Linked DNA regions of Saccharomyces cerevisiae S288C. The gene in region 2 interacts genetically with the main gene of each other region. Each region holds a gene or a part of one and is shown on either strand. Other genes may lie near its edges. The genes, in order: ERV14, SEC22, HSL1 and RGP1.

Region 1 (4,924 bases), on a different chromosome or scaffold from region 2:
ATTACGATTTACCTTTTTTATTTATTTTTTTCATTTTAGTATTTTATTCTTCGTTATTTATGTATAGAAATTTTCATTTTCATTTAGATTCAGATTTGGTTATCTTTTTTCATTATATATCTTTTGCACTAAGTTTCAACTTAAGTTCTATTTTTTATTTTTTTTTTCTGGGCCCTGGAGCAATAGATATGGGATGGCTTACTGCATCTCTTCAAAATTTCACAGTCATGCTCACCCTTAAGTTCTCAACCTTTTAGTTTTTTTTTTTTTTTTTTTTTATTTTGTATGGCATACTAACTATACAAATATTTATATGTACATTTATACAGTAACCTATTATTTACCGATATTCACCGGTATTTTACTTTAATAGATGCTGGTAATAACGAAAAAAATTGATAACTCCCACCGACAATTGAGAAAAAAAGCAAAAAAGGAAAAAAGGGAAGCACGAATTAATACATTCTGTGTATTTATCTTTTTTATCTTCAGTTTTCCTCCAATCTATGGGCGGCCATTAAGTATGTCTATTATTCTTGGCCCTTCAGTCTTCTTTGGATTTCAATGTCTTGTTGGATTAGAAGTCATCACCACTTTCAGCAATCAAAGCCATGATCATTCTGTACAAGTAGAAGAAGAACATCAATAAGTGGAAACCTAACTTTAGGAAACTCTCCCTTTTATGTTTGCCTAAAGTTCTGAATATTTCGGTAGCATCCAAAAGTTGAACTTTATTGTAGATCTTGTTTAGATTGTAAGCTAGAACTGGTAAGTTCAATAAAAATACAAACCAGTAACCGTTCAGTAAGAATAGTAATGACAAAGCACCATGCAAGGCGGCTTCAGGGGTAATTAACTTGTTAACTTTAGAACATAATTCAATTGGATTGATATAGTCAGCTTCTAAATCAGCGTATAGTATTGTGAAATGCACTTGGCCAAACAAATTGATACAGTTGACAACAACAGCAAGGATAAATAACCAAGCACCCATTTTTCTTTTTATTCTTAATTTTTTTACTTTACTTTAATTGCAGTTCAAAGGTAAATGTCTTTGTTAAGTAGGCAGTGAGACATAATAATATGAGAAAAATCCAGGTCTCTCCTTCGTATTAAGGAATACATGATCTAGCTATCACTCTTAAATCTTTCTCCTTCCTTGTTTTTTCTCCGAAATGAAGAAAAAAAATTTTCTTCACGGAACTAACGTGAAAAAAAACTTTCAAAAAAATACTCCGATACGGGGAGTCGAACCCCGGTCTCCACGGTGAAAGCGTGATGTGATAGCCGTTACACTATATCGGAAACAAATTAACTGAAAATGTTGTATCTCAAAATGAGATATGTCAGTATGACAATACGTCATCCTAAACGTTCATACAACACATATGAAACAACCTTATATCAAAACGAACAACATGAGATAAAACCCGGCCTTCCCTAGCTGAACTACCCAAAAGTATAAATGCCTGAACAATTAGTTTAGATCCGAGATTCCGCGCTTCCACCACTTAGTATGATTCATATTTTATATAATATATAAGATAAGTAACATTCCGTGAATTAATCTGATAAACTGTTTTGACAACTGGTTACTTACCATATATATTATTGAGAAATGGGTGGATTTTGAGATAAATGTGAGAAATGGGTGAATGTTGAGATTGTTGGAATAAAAATCCACTATCGTCTATCAACTAATAGTTATATTATCAATATATTATCATATACGGTGTTAAGATGATGACATAAGTTATGAGAAGCTGTCATCGATGTTAGAGGAAGCTGAAGTGCAAGGATTGATAATGTAATAGGATAATGAAACATATAAAACGGAATGAGGAATAATCGTGATATTAGTATGTAGAAATATAGATTCCATTTTGAGGATTCCTATATCCTCGAGGAGAACTTCTAGTATATTAGGTATACCTAATATTATAGCCTTTATCAACAATGGAATCCCAACAATTATCTCAAAATTCCCCCAATTCTCAACATCCGACTGCCATGCAATGTGCTTTTCTGGATCTCACTCATGATCATAATGGCCCTGTAAAAGGCTCGTACTGTTATTATCATATCTTCAATTACGTATTATTTCGGAGGCTGTACCTATTAGTGAAATAACGCCTCTAAAAATGAAAAGAAGAAAAAGAATATGAAAGGGGTTCTGAATTGCTAAAATATTTCGTCAAAGCTCAATTAGTATCAAGATCAAGTCGTAATTCGAATCAGCATAACAACCTCCAAAACCATATAATAACCTTACACAAGACAAGATATCAATTCAACATGCAAACCCCTTCAGAAAATACCAACGCCAAGTCGGATTCTCTCGACGAACCCGGTGCATATTTAATCGAGGAAAATGTGGCTCTTCCTAAGGACATATTCCATTCGTACTTGAGTTATTGGATATATGAAGCAGCTCACTGTACACCGGTCATGCTTTTGTCTCTAGTAATTGGGGTTTTAATCTCAATAATTATTCTTTTTCATGATAACGAAAATTGCGTTGGGGTTTCTGTAGGGTTTCTCCTCATATTCTCTGGCATTTTAGTGATAGTTCTAATACTCAGGTTTGGACCACAGATCAGTGATGAAGATTTCAAATGTAAGCTACTGATGGAAATTATCACACGGAAACCTACGGTAAAGGGGAAAGAATGGAGGACAATTACATACAAGATGAACCAGTATTTATTTGATAACGATTTATGGAACACTCCCTACTACTTTTACCGTGATGAAGATTGCCACCGTTATTTTCTAAGTCTTATTAAGGGAAGAACTTTCAAGAAGCAAAAGGAATCGTCAGCCAGCAATGTTAAAGACGCACAATCAAATGACGAAACCGCTGGCACACCAAACGAAGCCGCTGAGTCTTCTAGTTTTAGTGCCGGACCGAACTTTATAAAGCTCCTCACCAAGGCAGCCGAAATCGAACAACAATTTCAAAAGGAATATTGGCGACAAGAGTATCCTGGTGTCGATGAGTTTTTTTAGACAGAAGACGGGAGACACTAGCACACAACTTGACAAAGGATCTACTTCTCGATTGACGACACTAGTAGGTGTCAAATTTAGTGTCATTTATGATTTTTTGTAATAGGATATAAATATATACGGCGCTCCAAATAATGCAGTTGCCCCAAAAACACCACGGAACCTCATCTGTTCTCGTACTTTGTTGTGACAAAGTAGCTCACTGCCTTATTACCACATTTTCATTATACATCACTTCGCAAAATGCAATATTGAAAATGCCTCTAGAGATGAAAAACAATCGTGAAAAGGGTCCTGCGTTATTAAAACATTTGATCAGTATGCAATGGCACAGAGACAATCAGGAATACTATAGTCATAGACGATACAAGGTATATATTGGTCATGCAGACCCCTCTAGAAAGTACCGACGTCAAGTTAGATACACTCAACGAACCTAGTGCACATTTAATTGAGAAAAATGTGGCTCTTCCTAAGGACATATTCCGTTCGTACTTGAGTTATTGGATCTATGAAATCGCTCGCTATACACCAGTCATGATTTTGTCCCTGGTAATAGGGGTTTTGGTTTTATTAATTATATTTTTTAATGACAACGAAGCTTGTGTTTTCAATTCTGCATACTACGCTTATCTTTCTCTTGTAGTATTGTTAATAATATTAGGTGATGGTAATCCAAAGCTAGTCAGTCGTCGAAATTTTAGGACCGAGCTTTTAGTGGATGTCATCACACGTAAACCGGCAGTAGAAGGGAAAGAATGGAGGATCATCACATACAACATGAACCAATATTTGTTTAATCATGGGCAATGGCATACTCCGTATTACTTTTACAGCGATGAGGATTGCTACCGTTATTTTCTACGCCTTGTTGAGGGAGTAACCCCCAAGAAGCAAACAGCCACGTCAATTGGCAATTCTCCGGTCACCGCTAAGCCTGAAGATGCCATCGAGTCAGCTTCTCCTAGTTCCAGACTGAATTATCGAAACTTTTTGCTCAAGGCAGCGGAGATCGAACGACAAGCTCAGGAAAATTACTGGCGAAGGCGGCATCCCAATATCGATGCGCTTCTTAAAAAGACGGAATAGCTTAGAGACACTGCCATACGTAAAGCGAACATAAACTAGAGTATGATATATAATCAGCACTAACTGGCCCGAAAACGGCCGAAGAAGCCTCGAAAAGTCGATTCGTGTTGGACCCATTTGCTGAACGAAGTGTTCATTGCCTACCTATTATGGTAGTAGTCGTGATAATCGTGTGGTTGGTTTTGTCAACGGTGCATTTGCATTTTCATGACAATAAGCCTTGCGTTTTCGTTCTCGGGATATTACTTTCCCCCCACTTCTTTCGCCTCGATAGCTCCTATAAGCATTCTCAGGGCGTATGTCGGTGATCGAGATTTCCAAGCAAGCTTTTAGTGGAAATCATCGCGCGCAAGCCAGCGGTAAAGGGAAAAGAACGGAGGACGATTACATACAAGATGAACGAATAAATAAATTAATAATAAATAATAATAGAAAGTACAGTAGCATTAAATATTATTAAGTTTAATGATTAAAAATTGGTTAATTGTCAAGAAAATCTAAGGTATTAATAAATAAATAATACTATGACAACTTGCAGCGAAACGATCAGCCCCAATGAAAATTAATCAGAATTGAATTTGAGCGTATCTATTTGATAACGGTTTACGTAACTGTTGGAATAAAAATCAACTATCATCTACTAACTAGTGTTTACGTTACTAGTATATAATCATATACGGTGTTAGAAGATGACGGCAAATGATGAGAAATAGTCATCGTTTTCAATGGAAGCTGAAATACAAGGATTGATAATTGTTGGAATAAAAATCAACTATCATCTACTAACTAGTATTTACGTTACTAATATATTATCATCAAAATTCAC
Region 2 (6,633 bases):
GAGGTGGATACATCAAGGAATAAAGCCCAAAACCAAATACACCTCAAGTTTTGTTTGGTTTCCTCACTTTCGTTCAAATACCATTTATCAATATCATTTAAACCCAAACTTATGCACCCCTGGCATAGCTCGTTGATTAAGTCAACGCCTTGAGTCGCATCCCATACACCGTCCGTGCAATTTATCATTACACTAATATAGGACAATAAGAAAAATTGTAGTTTTTCCACGAAATTTGAGCTCGATGATGACAAGGACGCTGCACTTAAAGTGTGAAGGAAATGACTCACGGAAGAAGGGATATCTTGGTTATAATAGCCCAAGCAAAGAATTTGAAGTACAATGCCAAGATTATACTTATCTTTTGCATTACCTTGCAAATCGAGGAGGATGACTAGGTTCTTGTCCGTGGTATCTCTAATAAAAAGTCTGTCCAAGAGGGACAGAATATCGTCTTGGTTGAAGATATGCAATATGCCGAACAGCGGTCCAGCAAAAAAAGATTTAATACAGCTTTCCATTTGAGGAAAACTAGGCAAATCTGCTACAACATCATTTTCATTTAATTGCGATTTAGTGCATTCAGGAAGTGGTTTCAAGACTTTCCATAAATTTTGAAACTCAGTTTGAAACTTATTTTGTTCAAACAAAGATAAAGTTTTCCAGGAAGTGGGGCCAAACACATACCTCGAGCCATTATCACCTAAAACCGAAGTTCTCAGTGACCGTAATGGATTTTCTGAACTCCTGCAATACACCGGTTTCGCATTATTGTTATCGTTTTCCTTCAGTAGAGTCTGCAAATTCTCAATCTTCTGAACCAACGCTACATTGGGCACTTGCTCGAACAGTTCCGTATTAGACAAGGGATAGTTGAACTCTTCTGTGTAAACGCATTGCGGTAGTTTTCTAATTACACATTGCTGACACATAGGCCTGGCCTGACTGCATTTCAGTTTTCTTTTTCTACAAAATGCACATGACTTGATGACCTTCCTCCTCTTGCCCTTCTTACCACTTGAAACGGGCTCTCCGGTAGTAGATTTCATAGGAAAATGGGATCCATCCATCCCAACAAACTAAGTGCCGTTTGCCTCTTTCTTATTCGTCCCGTACCAACCACGTGTTTTCCACCTGTCATGGGCTTTTCAAGAGTTTGTCAACGCGGAAAGGCGCCGCATTGCACCTTGTCGTGATGTATTCTAAGTACAAGTAGTAAAGAAGTAATGACCCTGTTGTTATTGCTCCACTGCTGACCGCTGTTAATGCCTCTTCATGATTTCTGAGTCATTGTTGTACCCTCTGGCGAATAAGCCACTGTTGGTTTTGTGTGCATGTTGGAAAGGCGTTGCAACGGACTGTAACTCCACACACGAAAGAACCCTTAATTTTCAGCCGCTCGTTATTTTATTCAGTTGATCATTTCTTGTATAAATAGATTTAAGCAAATTTAAAGTTGATGATTCTATCTTCACAGCTAGAGCTCTACGTGAAATTTGTGCAATATATAGGCTGTGATTTCGAAAGTTATATATTCTCCGGGTAGAAGTGAAAAGGATGGTTGCCGCTTTAACGTATTTGCCTACTGAGCTTATCCAAAGGATATTTGAGTTCACTGTGGTGGAAACAGACTCTCAATATTGGTTGTACAATTTAGTGGCTCTAATTGATTTTTCTGTCTCTTCGAGAGGTGGTGGCTCTATAACGGAAGACTTCTTGACAAATTACGTTAGGAAGAATTTGATGGTTTTAGATCTGACCTGTGAGGCCACGCAAGACTCGATTTTACGAGCGGAGTACGGGTTTCTGAAGAGATTGTTGCCATACATTGACATGGACGCACAATATATCAGAGTTGTTGATTTGGAAACCAATGCTGACAAGGCCCAGAATTTAAAAGCAGAAAAACTTATTGTTATATTTGACGAATTCTCAGATTTGAAACTCATAGAAACCTTCTTCCCCTTGGCGAATTCCAATTCAAACATAATCGAGTTCGTATTCTGTGTTCGCAATATAAAGAGTTCGTTTTATTCACCTTTGGAAAAATTACATATTGCGAACATAGTCGCAGATATTGATATTAACACATTGTATCTGGACTTCGTGGATTCAAATATCTATTCGGATCAAAATTTCTTTGGGATTTTTGATCCCGATATTTTTCAGCTGATTAATAAAAACTATAGAAACTTCTTTTCTAAGACTAACGAAAAGGGGAAGAAAAGACCCCCCATTTGCAAGAAAATCTGTTTTCCCTTTGTTGAAACATTGAATTTGGATTATATGGCCCTTGATTCATTCTTTAATTCGATACTGCATAAACTAACAACAAAGATAAAAACATTTGAAAGGAACAATGAGTTTGACGTGGATAAAAATTTAAATTTAAACTCGACAACGACAGTAGCAGCTTTAATTATCAAGTCGATCTTGCAACAATTCTTCAACAATTTTCATATCAGCTTCCCTAATTTGGTTACCTTGAATTTTATTAAGATGTCTACCTACCCAAACAATAATGAGATTACCCAATGTTGTAACTTCATAGATTTATCTTCATATGTTCTAAACAAATGTTTAAGTGAGAATATCTCGATAAATTTCCTCTTTCAGTTGCACTCTTTGAAAAATTGGTCAATGCCCAAGATTAAAGAATTCACTGGGCACAAATTCAAGTATGACGAAACAACATTTTCAGGTTCACCAGAAAGGTACATCAAATCATTGAGGGGAAACATTAAAATTTTGCAAGAAATGGCAATTAACGAAACCAACGATGGTACTTGCTATTTCAGAGTCAAGTTGATACCTGAGGGGGTAGAAAAAACTCAAATAATCAACTGGATCCCCTTTACTTCTTCATTTAGCGATGATACCTTCAAACAAAGACACCATTTAAAGAGGCCAATGATTTGCTTGAAGAACAACTCTTTAAGATCGCTCACTGTCAAAATCATACGTATTGAAAAATGTTCATCCATCCGAATCCAGGGATTTTACCTACCAAATCTGCAGGAACTGTTCATCAACAATACCCTTTGCGACACCACCCAACACCAAAAACAAGCGTCAAATGATATGAGTTGTATAGAGTTCACTTCATGGAATGAACTACCACAATGCAAGAAATTGGGATTTGCTCAATTAGAGGACGACTCTAACTACGTTCTTAATATCAGTAACCTACAAGACCATTTACCAAATCTGGACCTGCGGGAGAGTTTCCCAACTTTCTTCGATATAAGACAGAAGTTTGTCGTGGTTTGAGGTCTAATTTTCAACCAAACGTGTTGTACTAGCATATATAATTAAATAAATTTCTCTAGTTATCACTTGATTTATCTAATAAGAGACGTCATAAACGAATTTTTTTTTAGCAATAAATCCTCAACGCTTTTTGTTTTCATTTTTCGGTCTTTTTCTACCATAGAAGATAAACAAGTAGAGCCCATGTAATATAATATATCTACAACCTATTATTACCCAAAACCAACAAAAACCCTGACAGTGACACCCCGTTACACACTCACAATTAAGTAGGGATGATAAAGTCAACACTAATCTACAGAGAAGATGGGCTGCCTCTTTGTACGTCTGTGGACAACGAAAATGATCCCTCATTATTTGAACAAAAGCAAAAGGTGAAAATCGTCGTTTCCAGATTGACACCACAGTCTGCCACGGAGGCTACTTTGGAAAGTGGCTCCTTTGAGATCCATTATTTGAAGAAATCCATGGTGTACTACTTCGTCATTTGCGAATCTGGATACCCAAGAAACTTAGCATTCTCATACCTTAACGATATAGCGCAAGAATTTGAACACTCATTTGCTAATGAGTACCCCAAGCCTACCGTAAGACCATACCAGTTTGTAAACTTTGATAACTTTCTACAGATGACAAAAAAGTCATACAGTGATAAGAAAGTTCAGGACAATTTGGACCAACTAAACCAAGAGCTTGTAGGTGTCAAGCAAATCATGTCCAAGAACATCGAAGACCTACTTTACAGGGGAGATTCTCTCGATAAAATGAGTGACATGAGTTCTTCTTTGAAAGAAACATCCAAAAGGTACAGAAAGTCCGCGCAAAAGATCAACTTCGATCTCTTGATCAGTCAATATGCTCCTATTGTCATTGTCGCTTTCTTTTTCGTCTTTCTCTTCTGGTGGATCTTCCTCAAATAGACGTCACCCCATCATCCCACATCACAAATCCCGATCAATTTGGTCCAAGTGTATAACATAGTCTAGTTCAGTATTAGTATAGTATGGCAATTTATTTGACATAATTACGTATTTTTCAGGCAAGCTGGCAGGTGACCCGCCGCACCTGCACTTTTTAGGGAGTCTTTTCAAGGATATCATCACTATATATCGAAGGAAAAGAGGCTTTCCAACTCTTTTGGATGATCGAATTGCCATCACTACTCTATTAACTGTCTGTGTATTAACTAAATAATCACATAGTATTAAGTTATAATTCCTGGAAAAAAAAAGAAAGCGAAACGACAAAATTAGCATATACCATGTCTCAACTGCCAACAGATTTTGCTTCATTGATCAAGAGATTCCAATTTGTTAGTGTCCTCGATTCCAACCCTCAAACCAAAGTTATGTCCTTATTGGGAACCATTGACAACAAGGATGCTATTATCACGGCTGAAAAGACGCACTTTCTATTTGACGAAACCGTGAGAAGACCCTCTCAAGATGGCCGCTCCACTCCAGTTTTATATAATTGTGAAAACGAATATTCTTGCATCAACGGAATTCAGGAATTAAAGGAGATTACTTCCAATGATATTTACTACTGGGGTTTGTCAGTGATAAAGCAGGATATGGAGTCGAACCCTACCGCCAAGTTGAATTTAATTTGGCCTGCTACTCCAATTCATATCAAGAAATATGAACAACAAAACTTTCATTTAGTCAGAGAGACTCCTGAGATGTACAAGAGAATTGTTCAGCCTTACATCGAAGAAATGTGTAATAACGGTAGACTTAAATGGGTAAACAACATTCTTTATGAAGGCGCTGAGTCAGAAAGGGTCGTTTATAAAGATTTTTCTGAGGAGAATAAGGACGACGGCTTCCTAATTTTACCTGATATGAAATGGGATGGCATGAACTTAGACTCTTTATATCTAGTTGCGATCGTCTACAGGACCGATATCAAGACAATAAGGGATTTAAGATATTCTGACAGACAGTGGTTAATCAACTTGAACAACAAGATTAGATCCATTGTTCCTGGTTGTTACAACTATGCTGTCCATCCGGATGAGTTGAGAATTTTGGTTCACTACCAACCTTCTTATTATCATTTCCACATTCACATCGTTAACATAAAGCATCCCGGTTTAGGTAATAGTATTGCCGCGGGCAAGGCCATCTTGTTGGAAGACATCATTGAAATGTTAAATTATCTAGGACCAGAAGGCTACATGAACAAGACAATCACCTACGCTATTGGTGAAAATCATGATTTGTGGAAAAGGGGTCTGGAAGAAGAACTCACTAAACAATTGGAAAGAGATGGTATCCCAAAAATACCCAAGATTGTGAACGGTTTTAAATAAAGGTTGTTAAAATTCTCACATCATCCACCTTTTTCCTACTCTCATTTTCTTTTTTTGAAAGTTGTTTGTTTTATATACCTTAGTTTCACAACAACATAAGGCATGCCTATTTGAGATTTTGTGATTAAAAAATAATAGAATACGTACTATATAACCGTCGGTTTAAAGTAAATAAATTAAAGACTAAGAATGAAACAATTAAAAACACTGTTCAATAACGTTGCTCTATCCTCCTGAGTCTTCCGGATCCTGTCTCCATTTTTTTGTGTGGTGACGAGTTGAGATAAAAAGATTTCCACTGCTGAGAATAATATCTATAATCGATAATGAAAGTTAGAACGATCACGTTGACTCTGAAATATAGTCAATAGAAAAAATTAGGTATCAATTCAATTGTAATATTTACTGGATTGAATTTAATTTAAGAATTACAGAATAAGAGGACGGACAATAAGAGGTACGCTACACATCTACCATCACTTTCAGGGAGGGCATAAAATGGAGGAGAGTAAGACAAAAAGAAAAGAGGATCGCATAGATTTGAAGAATACACCGCCTCAGAAGAAGTCAAAAAGAGATTCAACAAATGACGAAACTGCACGCACATCACTACGTTCAATCATGCCCAGGGGTTATAAAATGATGGAAAACATGGGTTACAAAGAAGGAGAAACATTAGGTAGTAATGAAAGTGCCCTAAAAGAGCCTATTAAGGTAGAAATCAATACAAAAAGGAGGGGAATTCGTGCAGAAAAGCCCGACCCATCAACAATGAATGACATGCAGATGAGTGAACAACGATTTATAAAAAGAGAAAGTGAAATGAAAAATAATAAGCGGTTAAAAAAAATTTGGTATAGGATCCAAAAAGTTGCTTTTGAAATGATGGGTGATTCCGATTTATACAATCCAGGCGAAGATCCGAGAGACTTTAACGTACTTTGGAGATCTTACGTTATGCAACTAAATGAGGAAGTAGCAAAAAATGACCTAAATAATCACAGTAACAATGATAATGAAGATAAGAATAATATGATACCAATGGTAAA
Region 3 (10,573 bases), on a different chromosome or scaffold from region 2:
CGCAAGTTTCTCTAGCATTTCGTCCACCAAGTTGGGGTCGCTACCGTACAATAAGGAACTATCCATGGAGGAACGCTGAACCAATTCCAAGTGCATGGGGAAGTACCACCTGGACGCCTCTTTGACATGTGAAGGTGACACAAACATCTTGCCGCTATGTAGACCAATTAATCTAGACAATAACACCACGTCGTCCAATGAATTTGTATATACCCCGCCGGCTTTGGCGTTATACGTCAATCTATGCGTTCGCAAATGGACCATGATATCGAGAATATACCGTCTTACAGTGGACCCCACAAATACATCGTTCAGATTTGCCTCTTCATTTAATATGATCGACCTCTTGCTCTCTGGCTCCTGCTTCTCTTCCTCAGCCATACCAATGCTATTATTGGCTCTTGTATTAATGCTAGACTCAGTTGAACTTTCAAAATCCAAATATGGGGGTGCACATGCAAACCAGAATTTGTGTTTGAGCCAAGCGCCCATACGGAAAGACGTGGGCAGGAAGATGCGAGTTTTGGGAGCTGGTTTACCTGCTTCATCCCCATCCTTAGCGGCGCCTGAAGGCTGCACGGGATTATTCCAATGAACCACTCCTATAAATATACGTGTTGACTGTGCCTTCTCAATCGCCACTGTGCAATCTCTCATAATTTTTACTAATTTCGCTTGGTCTGGCTGTAAAAGAGAATTTATGTCTGGAATGATAACAATCTCAAATTCCTTAACATGTGTAGTTGCTAACGAGTCCAAGCTTGCAGTTGTTGAGTTCAGAACCGTGACCTTTATTCCTCCGCCCGGATAAGCGTCATTGATTGCCCTCTTCAGTTGTATATCACAAGTACTTGGCATCGAAGAGGCTAATTTTTCCTTTGAGACGCTGTCTCTATACATACATAGAAAGCTCTTTTTAGCTGTAACAGAAAACTTCAAACATGTCTGAAAATCCGGCAGATTATGATCGCCCATTCCTATTTTTGCCACATCCAATCAATAATTTTGCAGCTCCGATTTTGCAGGTGTTGCTGTTCAATGGAAGTAATCGTTGTTATAAAGGAGCACATCACCAAGTCCTCTAAGGCTTAAAGGTTTGTCGTTATGCACGTAAAAGATGAAATTTTTTTATGGCTAGATGAGCTCATCGCGATTTGAAGAAAAAGAGTAAAGAAAACAATGCTAAGAAACTACAATAAGAGCAAGTTGCATATCATCGAATAATACTAGTGGGGTTTTCTAGTTCGTTACAGCCAACAACAGACAAAAGATATGGCTAAACTTGTACATGATGTTCAGAAAAAGCAGCATAGAGAACGTTCTCAGCTAACTAGCCGTTCCAGATATGGGTTTTTAGAAAAGCATAAAGACTATGTGAAACGTGCTCAAGACTTCCACAGGAAGCAGTCCACTTTGAAAGTCCTCAGAGAAAAAGCAAAAGAGAGAAATCCAGATGAATACTACCATGCTATGCATTCAAGGAAGACAGATGCAAAAGGACTGCTGATCAGCTCACGTCACGGTGACGAAGAAGACGAATCGCTTTCCATGGATCAAGTTAAATTACTCAAAACGCAAGATAGTAATTATGTGAGGACGCTGAGGCAAATAGAGCTGAAAAAGCTGGAGAAAGGAGCGAAACAGTTGATGTTCAAAAGCAGTGGGAATCATACAATATTCGTCGATTCCCGAGAGAAGATGAACGAATTCACCCCAGAGAAGTTTTTCAATACCACCTCCGAGATGGTGAATAGATCTGAAAATAGATTAACTAAGGACCAATTAGCCCAAGATATTTCAAACAATAGGAACGCTTCATCAATAATGCCAAAGGAATCATTAGACAAAAAGAAATTGAAAAAGTTCAAGCAAGTCAAGCAGCACTTACAGAGGGAAACTCAATTGAAACAGGTCCAACAAAGAATGGATGCTCAAAGAGAATTGTTGAAGAAGGGTTCCAAGAAAAAAATCGTAGACTCTTCAGGAAAAATTTCATTTAAATGGAAGAAACAACGGAAACGTTAGATTTTTACCATCTATATAGTATATATAAGTGAATCAGGCAGACGTTCCGTAATCCTTCTTTTCATGTTTTATAGGATTACGTTTATAAAAAGTATTCACTTTTCTTAAGTGTCTTTTGCGCCATCAAAAAAAAAAGGATTTTGAGGCACCGGAAAAAAAAGAACCCCTCTCCGAATGGGAGTATTTAGGACAAGATTTGTAAAGTGCTCCCTTTTTGAGCAATACTACAGATCTATAATGGGGAACAAACTCATACACGATGGACAAGTATTTGAATTCATTTGTTGACCACCTTTCAGAGTGGTCATCTCGTGCCTTTAGGAACAATTCATCAAGCGCTAACCAAAGTGCGTCGAACAAGGAATTAGAACAAGTTTTTGAACAGATCAATGCTATAGTTGAAAACCACAATAACAAATTAACCACTGCCTTTGATAAGATATCATATCGCGTTGCTCACAAGATTACACACTTGGTGGAAAGCCATTCTTTAGTATTCAACTACGCCACTTTAGTTCTCATCGCAAGTGCTTTGGTCGTTATTGGCTCATTTACGTCTATTTCTTCTATTCCATTTACAGCTCTACCTCCTACGAGAGAACACTCATTGTTTGATCCTACAGATTTTGATGTGGACCACGACTGTCATGTTATCTACCGCGAGAATGACGAAGATAAAAAGAAAAAGAAGAAAAGCAAGAGGTTTTTCGATATGATGGATGAAAAACATGCGATTATACTGCCCTTAACTAGTGGCTGTACTTTACTCGCTCTCTATTTTGTGATCAAGAAACTACACCTAAACTGGCTAAAATATGTGGTGAAAATTTTGAATTTTAATATAACACTGCTAAATATCCCAGCTGGCACATTTGTCTACTCCTACTTTCTCAACTCACTTTTCAGAAACCTATCACATTTAGCTTCTTGGAATCCCCTGGTTGTTTTACCAAGGTATCGTGTAACAATAGCTGATGATAACGAAGACCTGAACAAGATAGGCGGGTTTGTTACCAATTTGAATTACAAAGATGGATTGACCAACTCAGTTGTTCACAAGAAAACATTGGATGAGATTGAAAAAGATCATTGGATGAAGCATTTTTACAGAAGAGAATTAGTTGAACCGAAGGATATTAAATCGAAGAGGCAGATCAGCAACATGTATTTGAATAGCGCATTAATTGTTTCGTTCGTTCTGTCCATCGTTTCTACCGTATATTTCTATTTATCACCCAATGATTGGTTAATATCCAATGCTGTCAGTATGAATATGGCTATTTGGTCCATTGCTCAATTAAAATTGAAGAATTTAAAATCAGGGGCCCTAATCCTAATTGCTCTATTTTTTTACGACATTTGCTTTGTCTTTGGTACCGATGTAATGGTTACAGTAGCTACTAACCTTGATATTCCCGTAAAACTAAGCTTACCAGTCAAGTTTAATACAGCTCAAAACAACTTCAATTTTTCAATACTTGGTCTGGGTGATATTGCCTTGCCTGGTATGTTTATTGCGATGTGCTACAAATATGACATCTGGAAGTGGCACCTTGATCATGATGACACTGAATTCCACTTTTTGAACTGGTCATACGTTGGAAAATATTTTATTACTGCTATGGTTAGTTACGTTGCTTCTTTGGTATCTGCCATGGTCTCCTTGTCCATTTTCAATACTGCTCAACCGGCTTTATTATACATTGTTCCTTCCTTGTTGATTAGTACTATTTTGGTAGCTTGCTGGAACAAGGATTTTAAGCAGTTTTGGAATTTTCAGTATGATACGATTGAAGTGGATAAAAGTTTAAAAAAAGCGATAGAAAAAAAGGAGAACTCTATAACTTATTCGACCTTCATCCTATCAGAATACTATAATGATGCCGACAAGTATGCCTTGCTTGGTGATGATGTAAACGAAAATTTTGACGATGATGAAGAATTCGTGCAAGAGGAAGATCTCAGTGACAGCTCTGAGGAAGAGCTTTCTGAAGAAGATCTCTTGGATGACGAATCTTCTTGAGCTCCAAAAGAAACGACAGCTCTTTTTACCCCTCCAGGGTTGTATTTATCTTCTAATCTAGGACAATGTTTGTAAAACCCTCTTTCTTTCCTTCGTGTCTCATGTCTCTCCATTTATTAATGTTCTTTTAAACTATGTTTTCTCACGCCTGTCCATTCGGTTCTCGTACGTTAAATTTTTCAAATTATTGTTGTATAATTATATAACATCTATATAGAATTTATGAACGTCCGGCATTTCGAATTACTCTCTCCACATCATCATTAAACTTTTCAAAGGCTTTATTGGAACTTGTGTTTGAATGTTTGCTTCTTTTTTTTACAGTAATTACCGTAGATGCATTGGGTGTGCTAGTAATCTTGATTTTGAATTTGAAGTTGCCTTTTACAAATTTACAATCGTATTCCACCACCTTTCTCCCAAATTTGTGATCTAGGTTCTTTAATTGATAGTCGATACTATTCTTGTTGAATTCATTTAATGTTAGCATATGCGCATCATCAAATGATATATTCGTTACATGATTCTTGGATGCCTTAGTAGCATTATTATGAGAAGAAAAGTTTTGAAATAGTTTGACGAACCAATTCTTTTTATCACTGGAAGGCGCTTCTTCAACTTCAACATTTTGGACACTTTTTAGAATTGGCTTTTTTGTATGGGTTTGTGTATTTGATTCCATAGCGGTATCCTTCGTAACTTTAATCGTTGAGGGTTTTGGTATTTTAGAGTAGTTATTTTCTGTATTATTTGCATTTTCCTTTTTTTCAACCACCGGCAACACAAGTTGAGAAGATTCCTCGGATATTTTATTGTCTAGCTTGGTATGCTCTTCTTTAATTTTTCCCCCACCTACTTTTTTAGATTCTTCCTCCTCCTCATCGAAAAGCATTGTCACTCGTTGTTTTGGATTAACGCTTTCCTCAGATGGTCTTCGCTTTGAATAGCTCATACTTGATTCAAGAATATCAGCTTGAGAAGTATGCCCATCTTGATCTTCCTCCAAATCTTTGAACATTGACTGTAAACTTTGAGAAATGCCTAATGCATTACTATCACGACTACCACGCGTGGAAGAAAACCTCTTTTGCATATGTGTATTAGAAGGATTTTCTGGTGACAATCTAAGTTTAGAAAGTATCTCTTCAGTAGTCTCTCTGGGTATACCAGAACTGTTATTATTCCAATAAAGACTTACTCTAACATTTGTCGCGGGAGTAAGAACGTTTGTTGTCGCCATAGTGTCAATAGATACCGCTTTCCTATGCACACTTGCTCGTGAATCGCTTTCTGAAGAAGATGTATTTAATGAACCCTCATCGGAGGGCGCATCTTCAAAAATATTAATGGCTTTTTCATCATATGTGTTTGGTATAGTATAATCTGGAATATAATTAGTATCGCTATTATCTGGTTCTTTTTCCTTCGAGATATAGGCTGCCGATTTGATTACTTTTTCTTTTGTAAAAGAAGATGCTTTGGGCGAAGTATTGATTTTATTATTGTCCGTGTCGTTGTTCATCAGTTGAATCGCCTGAGCGGTAAAGGTGTTTGTTGGTATTTCCATCGCAAATGTCATATCAGAGATTCCATCCAGATCATTACTCAAATAGGAGCCAGGTGAGCCCTGATTACGTTTAACGGATAAATTGGCGTTCAAATTAGACCGTGGAGTTAGAGATATTTTGGCAGATTGTTTTCGCAAAGGGTGTGACATGGCTACACTTCTAGATTGGTTCTGTGGCACACTTAGATGCTTATCATCACCGTCATCAGCGAGTATCTGGCTAAGATTTTTGAACGTCATAGATGTGTTCAAAAAACTAGAAGGTAAAGACAGCATTGGTTTTTGAATTGTACTAGATTCTGCTAAAACACTGGGATCTCTCGAAGATGTTGCTACTGTTGTTAAAGGTACATATGAACTTTCGATTGAAACATCTGAGGCTTTGACTGGTTTTTCGTCTTCCACATGTTCACTCATGAACAAGGAACCTCTCTCATGGGTCCAGTGAGAGGCTGGCTCCTTTTTGAATTTCAGTCCCTGCAATAGTGATTCCACTTTTGAATTCACTGGCTGGGAGATGTTACGGCGGGGATCTAGAGATAAGGACGGTTTACCTTGATCATTAGGCAAAGAATTTACACGAAGTTCTTGGTGCTGAATAGGTTTGAGTGGTGACGGGCGGTCATTTTTTTTTTGAAGTTGTTCTCTTTGAATCTTTTTTTCTATCCTCATACCTTCCTGTTTATTCATTTTATTGAATGAGTTCGTGATATCTGAAAGGGCCGCTCTCTTTGGCTTCTGTTCTTCCAAATAACTTGAGCTTAACGTGTTTTCTTTTTCAAAGATAGGAAATGAAGAGAGCCCTGACATATTCTCAGATGGTTTATATGACATATTGAATTGATTTTTCTCAATTTTGGTTGGATACTCCGGGCCCTCATTTTCCTTATTTGTAGACACCCCAGAGATCGTAAAAGTGTCTGCCGAAGATTTTGTATCGTTTTGCCTCTGTCTTTGGGTGTCGCGTTCTTTTTCATTGTCCTCTTCCTCTTCGAGTATCCTATCTAAGGCGTTTCCAAATAAGATCTGATCGCATAAGATCTCAAAATCAGAGTCTGATTCCAACGAATGGGGTTCTGATTTATTCACATTTTCGGATGCTGGTTTCTTACTAGGGAGAGGATCGTCAAAGACTAATAAATCATTCAGGTTCAAGGAACGTTTTGAAATTGACTGTAATGAGTATAAGGATCTCTTTGAAGCCGAGTTTTGTAGTGTTCTTCTAGCGGCAACAGTTGCAGCTATATTCTTCCTCGAAAGTGATTTATGTATTGATTTAGTAGATGGGGAGGCGTGGATTGCCCTTCTTGACAATGAATATCTTGAAGGCGACTTCGGCAGTTGAGGTAGAGGCATCTCATTATCATGCACAGTTTCTCTAGAAGTTGAAGCGGACAATGATAATCTGGAATTCGATAAGCGTAGCGATCTTCTCGAACGTGATGAAATAGAGGTGTATGAGTTACGGAAAATCCTTGATGAAGAAGCATTGAATATGGGAATAGCGGGTGGTAATGTTACAGCTTCTGCTTCAGCCTTATCACTTTCAGGTTGACTGAGCGTATTGATACTAAATTGCGATTTTTGTGCCAATACAGGGGCATTAATTTCTGTATTAACCCCTGTAATTGCGTTGTTCTGATTCACTGTTGAAGTATCTTCTGAATGAATTTCTAGAGAATGTAAAGTCTTCACATCATTGTTCTCGCTCCTTAGGCCTGTATTATTGGCAGTTTTGGATGCGTATTCAATCCTAGGTTCATTTACGCTACTTTCTGTTGCTGATTTCTTGTTTTCGCTTGACGAGGACAATGATATTGAGTGACGTTGTTTATATTGTAATAACAGTGAGTAGAATAGTTTTTCCTCCGACATTGGCTTTTGAAGCAACTTGGCAGTGATTAGTTCACGAGAAACTCCATGCCACAAAATTTGCAAACTCCTCAAGATGGATTCATCAATTTCCCCTTTTGAATGTAAAGTTACAATAGAGGGCGAGACATTATTTAGCAAATGCAAATCCGAGTTAGATTTTCCCCTCGCCATGTTATCCTTTCTCATTTTCCTCAGCACTTTATTAACTGGGAGATCATCATATTTTTTGATCAGAGGATGCTTCAATATCTCTTGAGTGGTAATTCTTTTTTCTGGATCAATTACCAATATTTTTGATATCAAATCACGAGCCTCAGAAGATAAATTTGAGGGCATTTGATATTTGCCCGATTGAACTTTCAACAACAGCTTTTTGATGTTGTCATCATTAAATGGTAAATGACCGGTGAGTAATGCAAATAAAACGATACCGCAGGACCAGACATCGCTAGGACCGCCATGATATGGTCTACCCATAACAATTTCAGGAGACGCATAGTGTGGAGAGCCACATGAAGTTTTTAAAAGTTTATTAGGAAGCTCTAATGCTGCCATGCCGAAATCAGCAATTTTGATTCTCCTATTCTTTTTATCTAATAATAAATTTTCAGGCTTCAGATCACGATGGCATATATTAAAAGAATGACAATAGGAAACACCTTCAACTATCTGCTTGAAGTAATGGATAGCCTCCCTTTCAGGTAGCTTTCCCTTCGAGACCAGATAATCGAATAATTCGCCACCATCAACATATTCCAAAACTAGGTACAGCTCTGATTTGTTCTCCCAAACTTCAAACAATGCCATAACGTTTGTGTGAGATATCAATTTCATGATTACTATTTCTCTCTCTATGCCATATGGGTTCGTTTGAGAATGGTTACTATGTTCTCTAGATGCTATTGATGGAGAAGATACATTGGAAGTGACCATGGAAGAAGAGTAAGAATTAGGAACAGTTCCATTATTAGAACAATGAACAAAGGCTTTCTTCTTGGGGACAATTTTAATGGCAGCTAATTGTCCTGTTTCCATATTTTTAGCCAAGCGAACCCTACCAGAAGATCCCTTCCCCAATGTTTTGCCAAGTTTCCAAGGACCCACCGTGTCTCTGGATTTTCTCTTTGATGATTTTGTAGCAACACTTACGGTAGAGTCGGGCTGAGATAATCTTTTGGTAGCGTCGTTCACAGATTGTACAACACGCTCCAAATGCCCCGACGCCCTTTTTGGATTCGAATTTACTTTGGCCATGGCCCTTTTAGCTGCCTTCTTGGCCAATGAAGACGGGCGACCTTTGGGTACGTGGCTCGTTTTTGAAACGTGACCAGTCATGTCGTGTGGTAAAAATAAAAAATATTAATAACAAATAATAAAGGAGTGAATATAGTTGGTTGTTGATTTATTTATCAGTATTTTTTGTCCCGCAAATCTATGTCGTTCTTTTTACCTTGTCTTTCTTGTAATTTTATTATTTATCTCTTTTCGCGATTAGTAGCAAGTAGTATGATGGATATCCAACCTATTTGATGATCTATTTGAGTTCAACTCTCTGTTTTAATGGCCTCTCGCTGTCCAATTTACGTCCTTGCAGTCGGATAACTAGCGAACTTACGATCCAAAGGGAGTTTTAAGAAGAAACAGGTTTCGAGCAAAAGGTAACTTGCTTATATTAAGAACGCCAATAAGAGTGGCCACTATAATGCTGCTCCCAGCCGGTACAAGACGGTACGGTACGTGATGGAGATTAGTTTTCACTATTTAGCCCAAACAACCCAACGCGAAAATGACCACGCGAAAAGAAAAATTAGTAAAAATATTTCACAACGCGAAAAATAAGGACGAAGGCAACACATTCCACCTTCCCTGTTATTGTAAAACGCACAAATGTGTGCTTTATTCGCTGAGGTTTCATCGACAGCTGCAGCCAGTTGTTCATTCGGTGTTCTCTTGTGCAGCGGCTCAAATTGTGGCAGGCTTGTAGGCTCCGAACGCCGTAAGGTACTTTATGTTTTTAATGTCAACGTTTGCAAGAAAATGTCATCCTATTACTTTCTGAGGCATGATAACATTGTAATCCCTTATCTCTTGCGCTTGTTGGTATCAGATAAAGAAGCATCAAACAAGAACCCACTCCTTCCTTTTCTCATGGATAAAGAGAGGTCGCACCATTTCGTGAGGAATATGAATTAGTCAGCTTCTACTTTAGGGTATAGGTTGCAAACTTCCGTTTTTCTCAAGGTTTAATCAGAAGCATAATAGGTCTTCGGATGATTTCTTGTCTAATTCAAAAAAAAAATAATCTGGGATAGGTTTTTCGGGAAAAACAACTAGGGGTGATGCTGTTTTGCACCTCTATTACTGTAAGATAGGCTATGCAAGCAAACGACAGTAAGAAAGAATAGGGTTAAGTGAAATAGTTGACACACCCCTTAATCGTTCCATTAGATAATAAAAATTCATTTATAAGCAGTTGACTTCACAGAACAAGACATACACTGTATAGAGCCTGATCAGTAATCTTAGTGCAATTGTAGAAACCTGCACAACCAACAAAATTAAGAAAAAAAGAATGGAGGAACAACGTGAAATACTGGAACAATTGAAGAAAACTCTGCAGATGCTAACTGTAGAGCCATCTAAAAATAACCAAATCGCCAACGAAGAAAAGGAAAAGAAAGAAAATGAAAATTCGTGGTGCATCCTCGAGCACAATTATGAGGATATTGCACAGGAATTCATTGATTTCATTTACAAGAACCCTACCACTTACCATGTAGTATCATTTTTCGCGGAGCTGTTAGATAAGCATAACTTCAAATACTTGAGCGAGAAATCCAATTGGCAGGACTCCATTGGCGAAGATGGTGGGAAATTCTACACTATAAGAAATGGAACTAACCTATCTGCCTTTATCCTGGGCAAAAACTGGAGAGCCGAAAAGGGTGTCGGTGTCATTGGATCTCATGTGGACGCTTTGACGGTCAAATTGAAGCCCGTCTCCTTTAAAGACACAGCGGAAGGTTACGGAAGAATTGCTGTTGCTCCCTATGGAGGTACACTGAATGAATTGTGGCTAGACA
Region 4 (8,154 bases), on a different chromosome or scaffold from region 2:
CATATCTTGGGTAGATGAACCATTAGAAATGTTCGAAGTAGCTGCATTGTTATCTTCTGTTTTTGGATTTTCTAGTTGAGCTGTTGTATTCTGTGGAGCAAACTCCCCGGCAACACCACTGTCAGGATCTTGCGAAGAAACTTCCGAGCTTTTTATTTTGGTATTCTCTTCTGATATTTCTCCCTTTGGTTGCGTCTGTTCGCTCTTCAACTCATCTCCTTCTGTTTGAGAAGCGCTGTTTATACGTTGCGACTTAATTTTTTGCTCTCTTTCAGGAAACGAAGCCTCTTCTTCCAGTGCCCTCTTCTTTCTTTCCTTTCCAATCTTGTACTCCCTAGCATCCTGAAGTTTTTTCCTGTGCTCTTGATTGATTTTGTACAAAAGTTTCTCTTTGAAACTATCATCCAACGCTTCCACTTTTCTGGGTTCCTCGAACAAACCATCAACACCAGTCTTTTCGTTAACTTTATCAAAATCGAACAAGTATCGCGATCTTAGAAACCGTAAAGTTTGCCATTGTCTGATTATTTCATCTTTCGCTTCTCCACCGGAAGTTTCAGAAGAAATTTTTGATTCCCATTTCGCTTGGGCTGCTTCATAGACACCTTCAGGCTTCTTTACTTCTTGCTCAATTTTATCTAGACCAGTAGGTATTTTCCAAACATTATTAATCAATTTATTCCCCATCTTGATGAACGTAAACTTTTTAAAAGTTTCGTCAAAAGCGGGTGGCGGTATCTTCTCCTTAGATATTCTGAAGTTTTGGAATTCTTTAAAGCCATCGATCTTGGCGGTTGTAAACTTTTCGTCAGAAGACATTAATTTGCGGATAACACGATAAAAGTCAGGGTCTTTAATTTTATAAAATTTCAAAACACGATTGTCGCAAATGTATGAACATAAATTGAGCCCACGCTTTTTGTTAACTTCATCAAGGTTCTCAAAATCAATATCGCTCAACGGGTTTTCCCTCAAATAGCAGCTTTTATAGAAATTCCTCGTTTCATCAGAAGAAATTAAATTGCGTATAAGATTTGTTGTGAAACATAGTTGTAAAATGAACTGTTTGCGGTAGTAATCATCGTCCTCTTGAGTCAATTGTTTATAAAGGCAGGTCGTATTGCTCAAAGAGATATCCATAATGGTAGGTCGAAGAGTGTAGTCATCTGATTCTTTAATATTCTGTAGATTCGCCCAAAATTCATTCCTGTCCATTTTCATTGCGTTTGAATGCTTCATATACACGGGTAATTTAGGGGTCATAACATCGTAATTCGCGTAATACTCAGTGTTCAGAGCTTCCTCTAAGGAATATCTAGTCCTATTGTTCATCTTGATTTTGCTGTAAAAGTTCTCTTCGATTTCCAAGATTGCATCAAGAAGGGGACTTAATGATCTGTCCACATCATTTTTATATTCTAAATCGCTAAAAGCAAATTCGATCGGGCAAATAATTAGATGATAAAACACGAAGTTATAATCTGCAGCAAATATAACGTCGGAACTGCGGTTGCTTTCTCGTTCACGTGCTGATCTGTTCCATTCGTTATCAGATTCTTGTAAAGCTGAAATAGAAGCGGATCTATTGAAGTTCGATTCTTCATTTATAGGTAGTAGCTCGGATAAAAAGTTCTCTAGTTTGTATTTCATATTATAATGTTTGACGGTATTAAGGATGTCATTATTCTCTAATTTAGCTAAAATATCGTTCCAGTGGCGCAGCTTTTCGTATAAAGGCTGTTTGTAACTAATCAAATTGCTCTCCCCCAATGATACTGGCTCAACAGATGTATTCATTTTGAACCATTCGATACGTGATTCAGCATAGGGCCAAAACTTCAAAAACGTAGATGGTGAGTTTAGCAAATCAATGATGGTGGAAAATAACTCGAAAAAGGTATTTCCCCAGCTAGCTGGATTAGATCTATTAAATCTTGAGTTATACACAAAATCGAGACCTATACACGAATTTAGTAACCCTTTTTCAAGATTATTTTCTTCTTCGTCTTCAATAGCATTTGTCATTGAATCTATAATGAATCTTTTAAGTATAATGTCAATCAAAGAATCTCTATCATGAATTGCCGAAATATTTTTTTCGAGCGGTTCCCATTCAAAATTGAGAACACTTGCATGCAACATTGAAGATGGAAGTGGTTCATGTCGAATGGAGTCAAACGAAACTGGGAGTGCTTTAAAAGTTTTCTGGAGAAAACCTATTGAGTTTTGGATCAATTCCTCGGTATTAGACATTATTACTCCTTTGCCCAAGTTTTAATGCCTCTTGAATTGTTAAAATCATCTATTAATTTACTGATCAAGCTATGGCAAAAACCTGATCATTCTAACGAAAAATGTCATTAGAGAAGCAATATGCATCGTGCGAAATGAGCAGTCTTGAAATCGCACGGACAGCAACCCATGACATCAAGAGATGACTATTACGACAATAAAGCCGGTTAACTAACTTATAAATGTATCTGTACATACCCTTTATGAAGAGAGTATAGTAAATCCTCTTTACTGGATTGGATTCAAATGCAAAACCAATTATACGAGTAAACTGCACCCATTTATTGCTTACCATCCCATGAAATCTTCGGATGTACACAGTATTGGAATGGGAACGTAACATGTAAACTCTTCACCTTCTAAATTCTCTTTTGAATGGAATAGGATGCCCTTTTTATCCTCATAAAATTGATCCAAAGTGATACTTTCTGTCTTTGCAATTATTACAAATTTTAGTCCTATCATCCACTTATGTTGAAAAACATCTGTCTTGAATTGTCCGGTAATCTGGTTTGTAGGCGATCTTGGAGGAAGTAATTTCACCGATACGGACTTGCACTCATCGAAACAAATAAAATGTTTCTCATACACCGAGTTTCCTTTTGGTTTGCTCCCTATTCCTTTTCCTTCAGTCTTATATTTTGGATTTATAATTTCAAACGATTCTAAGGATACAGTCAACGAAGTCACTTTAAGTAAAGGCGTCGTTATCGGATCTAATTCAATGACTAAATTTATATCATCAGTTGTCTTATAAAAAGGTGCTGATAAGGATACTTTTGCCATAGTCTCATTATTTCTGTTAATTTGATATGCGTTCTGTAAATTAATTAGCTGAGGTAGAAGATTAGAATTCTCATCTGACTTAACGAGAGAACAATCGTTCCACATCTTTTGCTCGAGGTTAGAAATGTTATCGCGTACCGAATAACTTTTTCTCCTCTTAGTTACAGCATCGCTTCTCAGGCTAGACTCTGCAGACGTCACCATTTCGTTCGAAAAGTGTGAGTCGTTGGGTTCAGGATCCGAAGAATCCTCATCCTTTCCGAACTGTACCCCCATTTGCAAGTCAATAAGTTCGTCTATATCTCTTGACACATTTTGGTTAGATTCCACCAGTTCAATGAAGTTTTTTTTGACACGCTTGACAAATTCATTATCTTCTAATGGAGAATCAATGTCAATTATAGAAGATTTTCTCCTACCAAATGATACAGCAGAAGCCGTAGAAACTTTTCGAGTAAACAAACGTGGCTTTAGTTCCTTTATGTTACCTGTCTTTAATATGATAGCAGGCTTATCCAGACGTGATGTGTACTGTTCGGCATTCGAACTAATATATGGTGCTATTGTTATTGGGACTCTATTTGAAAATTTCTCGATATTATCATCAGAAAGTACATCCGCACCAACCTCCAGCGTGTAATTTATTGATGCCACTTTTGACGATGAATAACTTGGGCATATATCTTTTGGCAGCTTTGTGGATTTAAAATAGAATGTTCTTACTTCACCTGGTTCTAAAGAAATTTCAGAAAATAAAAGCGTCTGTGGTATTAAAAGAAGAGGTAATGTTTTTATACTGGTATCGTTTGATATCATTAAGGTCCGTTCGTTATAGGTACCTGTTCTTCCCCTAGAACCGCTTTCTGAGAAAAGAAGACCATTGGTCACATTTGTATAATCTGAGTTGAGGTAGTTGGTTAAATTTCTTTTACCTTTGAAATGTTCTCCATCTTCCAATGCAAGAACAGAATTTGTCGTATGTCCAGGTACAATATCTAGTCCTACCATTTTTACTTCATCTTGTTTAAATTTTGACTCTGAAATTACCTCTGAATCGTATTGAAAGACCCCCGATATTTGAACATAACCGGATATTAACGTTACAGGTTGATGAAAATACATTTGCTTCTGTATTTTTTCTCTTAACATCTTACTCTCATTTAGCATTTTCATGTTATCCACATCCACACTCTCTTCAGGTTCGCCTGTTCTTTTGAAGGCACCTAGTAATGATTTTAGGGACCAGGTTTGATTTTCCATCGTGCCTTCACCATCATCTTGCACTTTCGCTTGTTGTTCCAACTTCTCTTCAACAGCTTTATCGACAGTGAGAAGCTTTTCTTTATAGTTGAACAATTCATGCTGTGAGCCTAGGTGCTTAAATCGGAAAGCAATTGATATATGTTCTCCACCAAAATAGGAATTCGATTCATGTATGATCTCCAGTTTGATGTTTTCTCTTATGAGAAATGTATCGATTCTGTGCGCACGCATATCTTCTTCTAAAGTATGAAAAATATCACAATCAAAATCAACAGCTCAAGAAATTATGGGCTAGCTTTCGCTGTTTGTTTCGACTGGCAGCCTTTGCATTGCCCCGTAGGTATCAAAGCTTCTTTGAAGCTGAATTGATCTTGAAAAATAGCACTTTGGAGACGCGCCTTACGCTTTATAGGAGACTTCGGAGTAGACTTCGATTAAAAAATAAAAATTACACAAGAAGTTCAAGTATTATGTTTAATATTCAAACAACGTTTCCACCTCATGGAGAAATGAAGACTTTTATCGTTCTCCGTGAGGTGGATTTACTGTTATTGTCGTTAGAGTTCATGAATGTTTCTCTTGCGCGAGCAGATCTACTGGTCAGGAATCTACATTACTTTGCAATCCATAGTACGCTTGTTATGCTGCATCAATACGAATATATATATCTAATGCTAACATCTGGTTTCTGTAGATATCTTGGCGTGTGTTTCTTTATGATAATACAAAAATATGTAACTCCTGGTGTGATGCTTGGGCGGTGGAAGGTTACGGCTTAGTAATTACGAAATTGATGAAAAAAGTTAGCAGCTGCTATAAAAGGTGCGATAACCTCTTGTGATCATCTGCTATGTGGAAGCTGGTTTACAACCTACAATTTTTCAATTAACAGTTTGAGAATAAATTAGGGGTATCGTACTACCGTAAAGAACAAGAAAATGGCTGGTAATCTTGTTTCATGGGCCTGCAAGCTCTGTAGATCTCCTGAAGGGTTTGGACCTATATCCTTTTACGGTGACTTTACTCAATGCTTCATCGACGGTGTGATCCTAAATCTATCAGCAATTTTCATGATAACCTTCGGTATCAGAGATTTAGTTAACCTTTGCAAGAAAAAACACTCTGGCATCAAATATAGGCGGAATTGGATTATTGTCTCTAGGATGGCACTAGTTCTGTTGGAGATAGCGTTTGTTTCACTTGCGTCTTTAAATATTTCTAAAGAAGAAGCGGAAAACTTTACCATTGTAAGTCAATATGCTTCTACAATGTTATCTTTATTTGTTGCTTTAGCCTTACACTGGATAGAATACGATAGATCAGTTGTAGCCAATACGGTACTTTTATTCTATTGGCTTTTTGAAACATTCGGTAATTTTGCTAAACTAATAAATATTCTAATTAGACACACCTACGAAGGCATTTGGTATTCCGGACAAACGGGTTTCATACTAACGTTATTCCAAGTAATAACATGTGCCAGTATCCTGTTACTTGAAGCTCTTCCAAAGAAGCCGCTAATGCCACATCAACACATACATCAAACTTTAACAAGAAGAAAACCAAATCCATACGATAGCGCAAACATATTTTCCAGGATTACCTTCTCTTGGATGTCAGGTTTGATGAAAACTGGCTATGAAAAATACTTAGTGGAAGCAGATTTATATAAATTACCGAGGAACTTTAGTAGTGAAGAACTCTCTCAAAAATTGGAGAAAAACTGGGAAAATGAGTTGAAGCAAAAATCAAATCCTTCATTATCATGGGCTATATGCAGAACTTTTGGATCTAAAATGCTTTTAGCCGCATTCTTTAAAGCAATTCATGATGTTCTAGCATTTACTCAACCACAACTACTAAGGATTTTAATCAAGTTCGTCACAGACTATAACAGTGAGAGACAGGATGACCATTCTTCTCTTCAAGGGTTTGAAAATAACCACCCACAAAAATTACCCATTGTAAGAGGGTTTTTGATTGCGTTTGCTATGTTTCTGGTGGGCTTTACTCAGACATCTGTCCTGCATCAATATTTCCTGAATGTCTTCAACACAGGCATGTATATTAAGAGCGCCCTAACGGCTTTAATATATCAAAAATCCTTAGTGCTATCTAATGAGGCTTCTGGACTTTCCTCTACCGGTGACATTGTCAATCTCATGAGTGTGGATGTTCAAAAATTACAAGATTTAACACAATGGCTAAATTTAATATGGTCAGGGCCTTTTCAAATCATTATTTGCTTATATTCTCTGTATAAGTTGTTGGGAAATTCCATGTGGGTTGGCGTGATTATACTAGTTATTATGATGCCATTGAACTCATTTTTGATGAGGATACAAAAGAAGTTGCAAAAATCCCAGATGAAGTACAAAGATGAAAGGACCCGTGTTATAAGTGAAATACTAAACAATATTAAATCTTTGAAGTTATATGCATGGGAGAAGCCTTATAGGGAAAAGCTAGAAGAAGTAAGAAATAACAAAGAGTTAAAAAATCTTACAAAACTAGGATGTTATATGGCTGTGACAAGTTTTCAGTTCAATATAGTACCATTCCTTGTTTCATGTTGTACCTTTGCTGTATTTGTTTATACTGAGGATAGAGCATTGACTACTGACTTAGTTTTCCCTGCTTTGACTCTGTTCAACCTGCTCTCATTCCCACTAATGATTATTCCTATGGTTTTAAATTCTTTTATCGAAGCTTCTGTTTCTATTGGTAGATTATTTACATTCTTTACCAATGAAGAGCTACAACCAGATTCGGTTCAGCGTTTACCAAAAGTAAAAAATATTGGCGATGTAGCCATTAACATTGGAGATGATGCTACCTTTTTATGGCAACGGAAACCGGAATACAAAGTAGCCTTAAAGAATATTAATTTCCAAGCTAAAAAAGGAAATTTGACCTGTATTGTTGGTAAAGTTGGCAGTGGTAAAACAGCTCTATTGTCATGCATGTTAGGTGATCTATTCAGGGTTAAAGGTTTCGCCACCGTTCATGGTTCTGTTGCTTATGTTTCACAAGTTCCATGGATAATGAATGGTACTGTAAAGGAAAACATTTTATTTGGGCATAGATACGACGCGGAATTTTACGAAAAAACGATCAAGGCCTGTGCGTTAACTATTGATCTTGCAATTTTGATGGATGGAGATAAGACATTAGTTGGCGAGAAAGGGATCTCCTTATCTGGAGGACAAAAAGCTCGTTTGTCTTTAGCAAGAGCAGTTTATGCGAGAGCTGACACTTATTTACTTGATGATCCTTTGGCAGCTGTTGATGAACACGTTGCCAGGCACTTGATCGAACATGTGTTGGGTCCAAATGGTTTATTACATACAAAAACGAAGGTATTAGCCACTAATAAGGTGAGCGCGTTATCCATCGCAGATTCTATTGCATTATTAGATAATGGAGAAATCACACAGCAGGGTACATATGATGAGATTACGAAGGACGCTGATTCGCCATTATGGAAATTGCTCAACAACTATGGTAAAAAAAATAACGGTAAGTCGAATGAATTCGGTGACTCCTCTGAAAGCTCAGTTCGAGAAAGTAGTATACCTGTAGAAGGAGAGCTGGAACAACTGCAGAAATTAAATGATTTGGATTTTGGCAACTCTGACGCCATAAGTTTAAGGAGGGCCAGTGATGCAACTTTGGGAAGCATCGATTTTGGTGACGATGAAAATATTGCTAAAAGAGAGCATCGTGAACAGGGAAAAGTAAAGTGGAACATTTACCTAGAGTACGCTAAAGCTTGCAACCCGAAAAGCGTTTGTGTATTCATATTGTTTATTG

What was found.
Region 1: mutations in SEC22 (region 2) and ERV14 together harm fitness more than expected from each alone (negative genetic interaction), as found in Saccharomyces cerevisiae (4 studies listed by BioGRID).
Region 3: mutations in SEC22 (region 2) and HSL1 together harm fitness more than expected from each alone (negative genetic interaction), as found in Saccharomyces cerevisiae (5 studies listed by BioGRID).
Region 4: mutations in SEC22 (region 2) and RGP1 together harm fitness more than expected from each alone (negative genetic interaction), as found in Saccharomyces cerevisiae (4 studies listed by BioGRID).

The regions. Positions count from the first base shown.
Region 1 is NC_001139.9:400,294-405,217, forward strand, and holds ERV14 (cornichon family protein), read right to left. Parts: upstream 995-4,924; coding exon 578-994; downstream 1-577. Other genes in the region: pheromone-regulated DUP240 family protein PRM8, read left to right, coding at 2,296-3,009; DUP240 family protein MST27, read left to right, coding at 3,394-4,098. UniProt on the Saccharomyces cerevisiae protein: Could regulate export of the bud site and axial growth sites selection protein AXL2 and possibly other secretory proteins from the endoplasmic reticulum in COPII-coated vesicles. Seems to be required for axial budding pattern in haploid cells.
Region 2 is NC_001144.5:676,655-683,287, forward strand, and holds SEC22 (SNAP receptor SEC22), read left to right. Parts: upstream 1-3,545; coding exon 3,546-4,190; downstream 4,191-6,633. Other genes in the region: PDR8 (Pdr8p), read right to left, coding at 1-1,070; BOP2 (Bop2p), read left to right, coding at 1,558-3,270; DCS1 (5'-(N(7)-methyl 5'-triphosphoguanosine)-(mRNA) diphosphatase), read left to right, coding at 4,532-5,584; CMG1 (Cmg1p), read left to right, coding at 6,083-6,633. UniProt on the Saccharomyces cerevisiae protein: Nonessential SNARE involved in targeting and fusion of ER-derived transport vesicles with the Golgi complex as well as Golgi-derived retrograde transport vesicles with the ER.
Region 3 is NC_001143.9:247,172-257,744, reverse strand, and holds HSL1 (protein kinase HSL1), read right to left. Parts: upstream 8,826-10,573; coding exon 4,269-8,825; downstream 1-4,268. Other genes in the region: MTC2 (Mtc2p), read right to left, coding at 1-975; rRNA-processing protein UTP11, read left to right, coding at 1,273-2,025; YPF1 (aspartic endopeptidase), read left to right, coding at 2,285-4,048; YKL102C (uncharacterized protein), read left to right, coding at 9,378-9,683; metalloaminopeptidase APE1, read left to right, coding at 10,063-10,573.
Region 4 is NC_001136.10:724,677-732,830, reverse strand, and holds RGP1 (Rgp1p), read right to left. Parts: upstream 4,573-8,154; coding exon 2,581-4,572; downstream 1-2,580. Other genes in the region: HPR1 (Hpr1p), read right to left, coding at 1-2,253; ATP-binding cassette glutathione S-conjugate transporter YCF1, read left to right, coding at 5,280-8,154. UniProt on the Saccharomyces cerevisiae protein: The RIC1-RGP1 complex acts as a guanine nucleotide exchange factor (GEF), which activates YPT6 by exchanging bound GDP for free GTP. It is thereby required for efficient fusion of endosome-derived vesicles with the Golgi.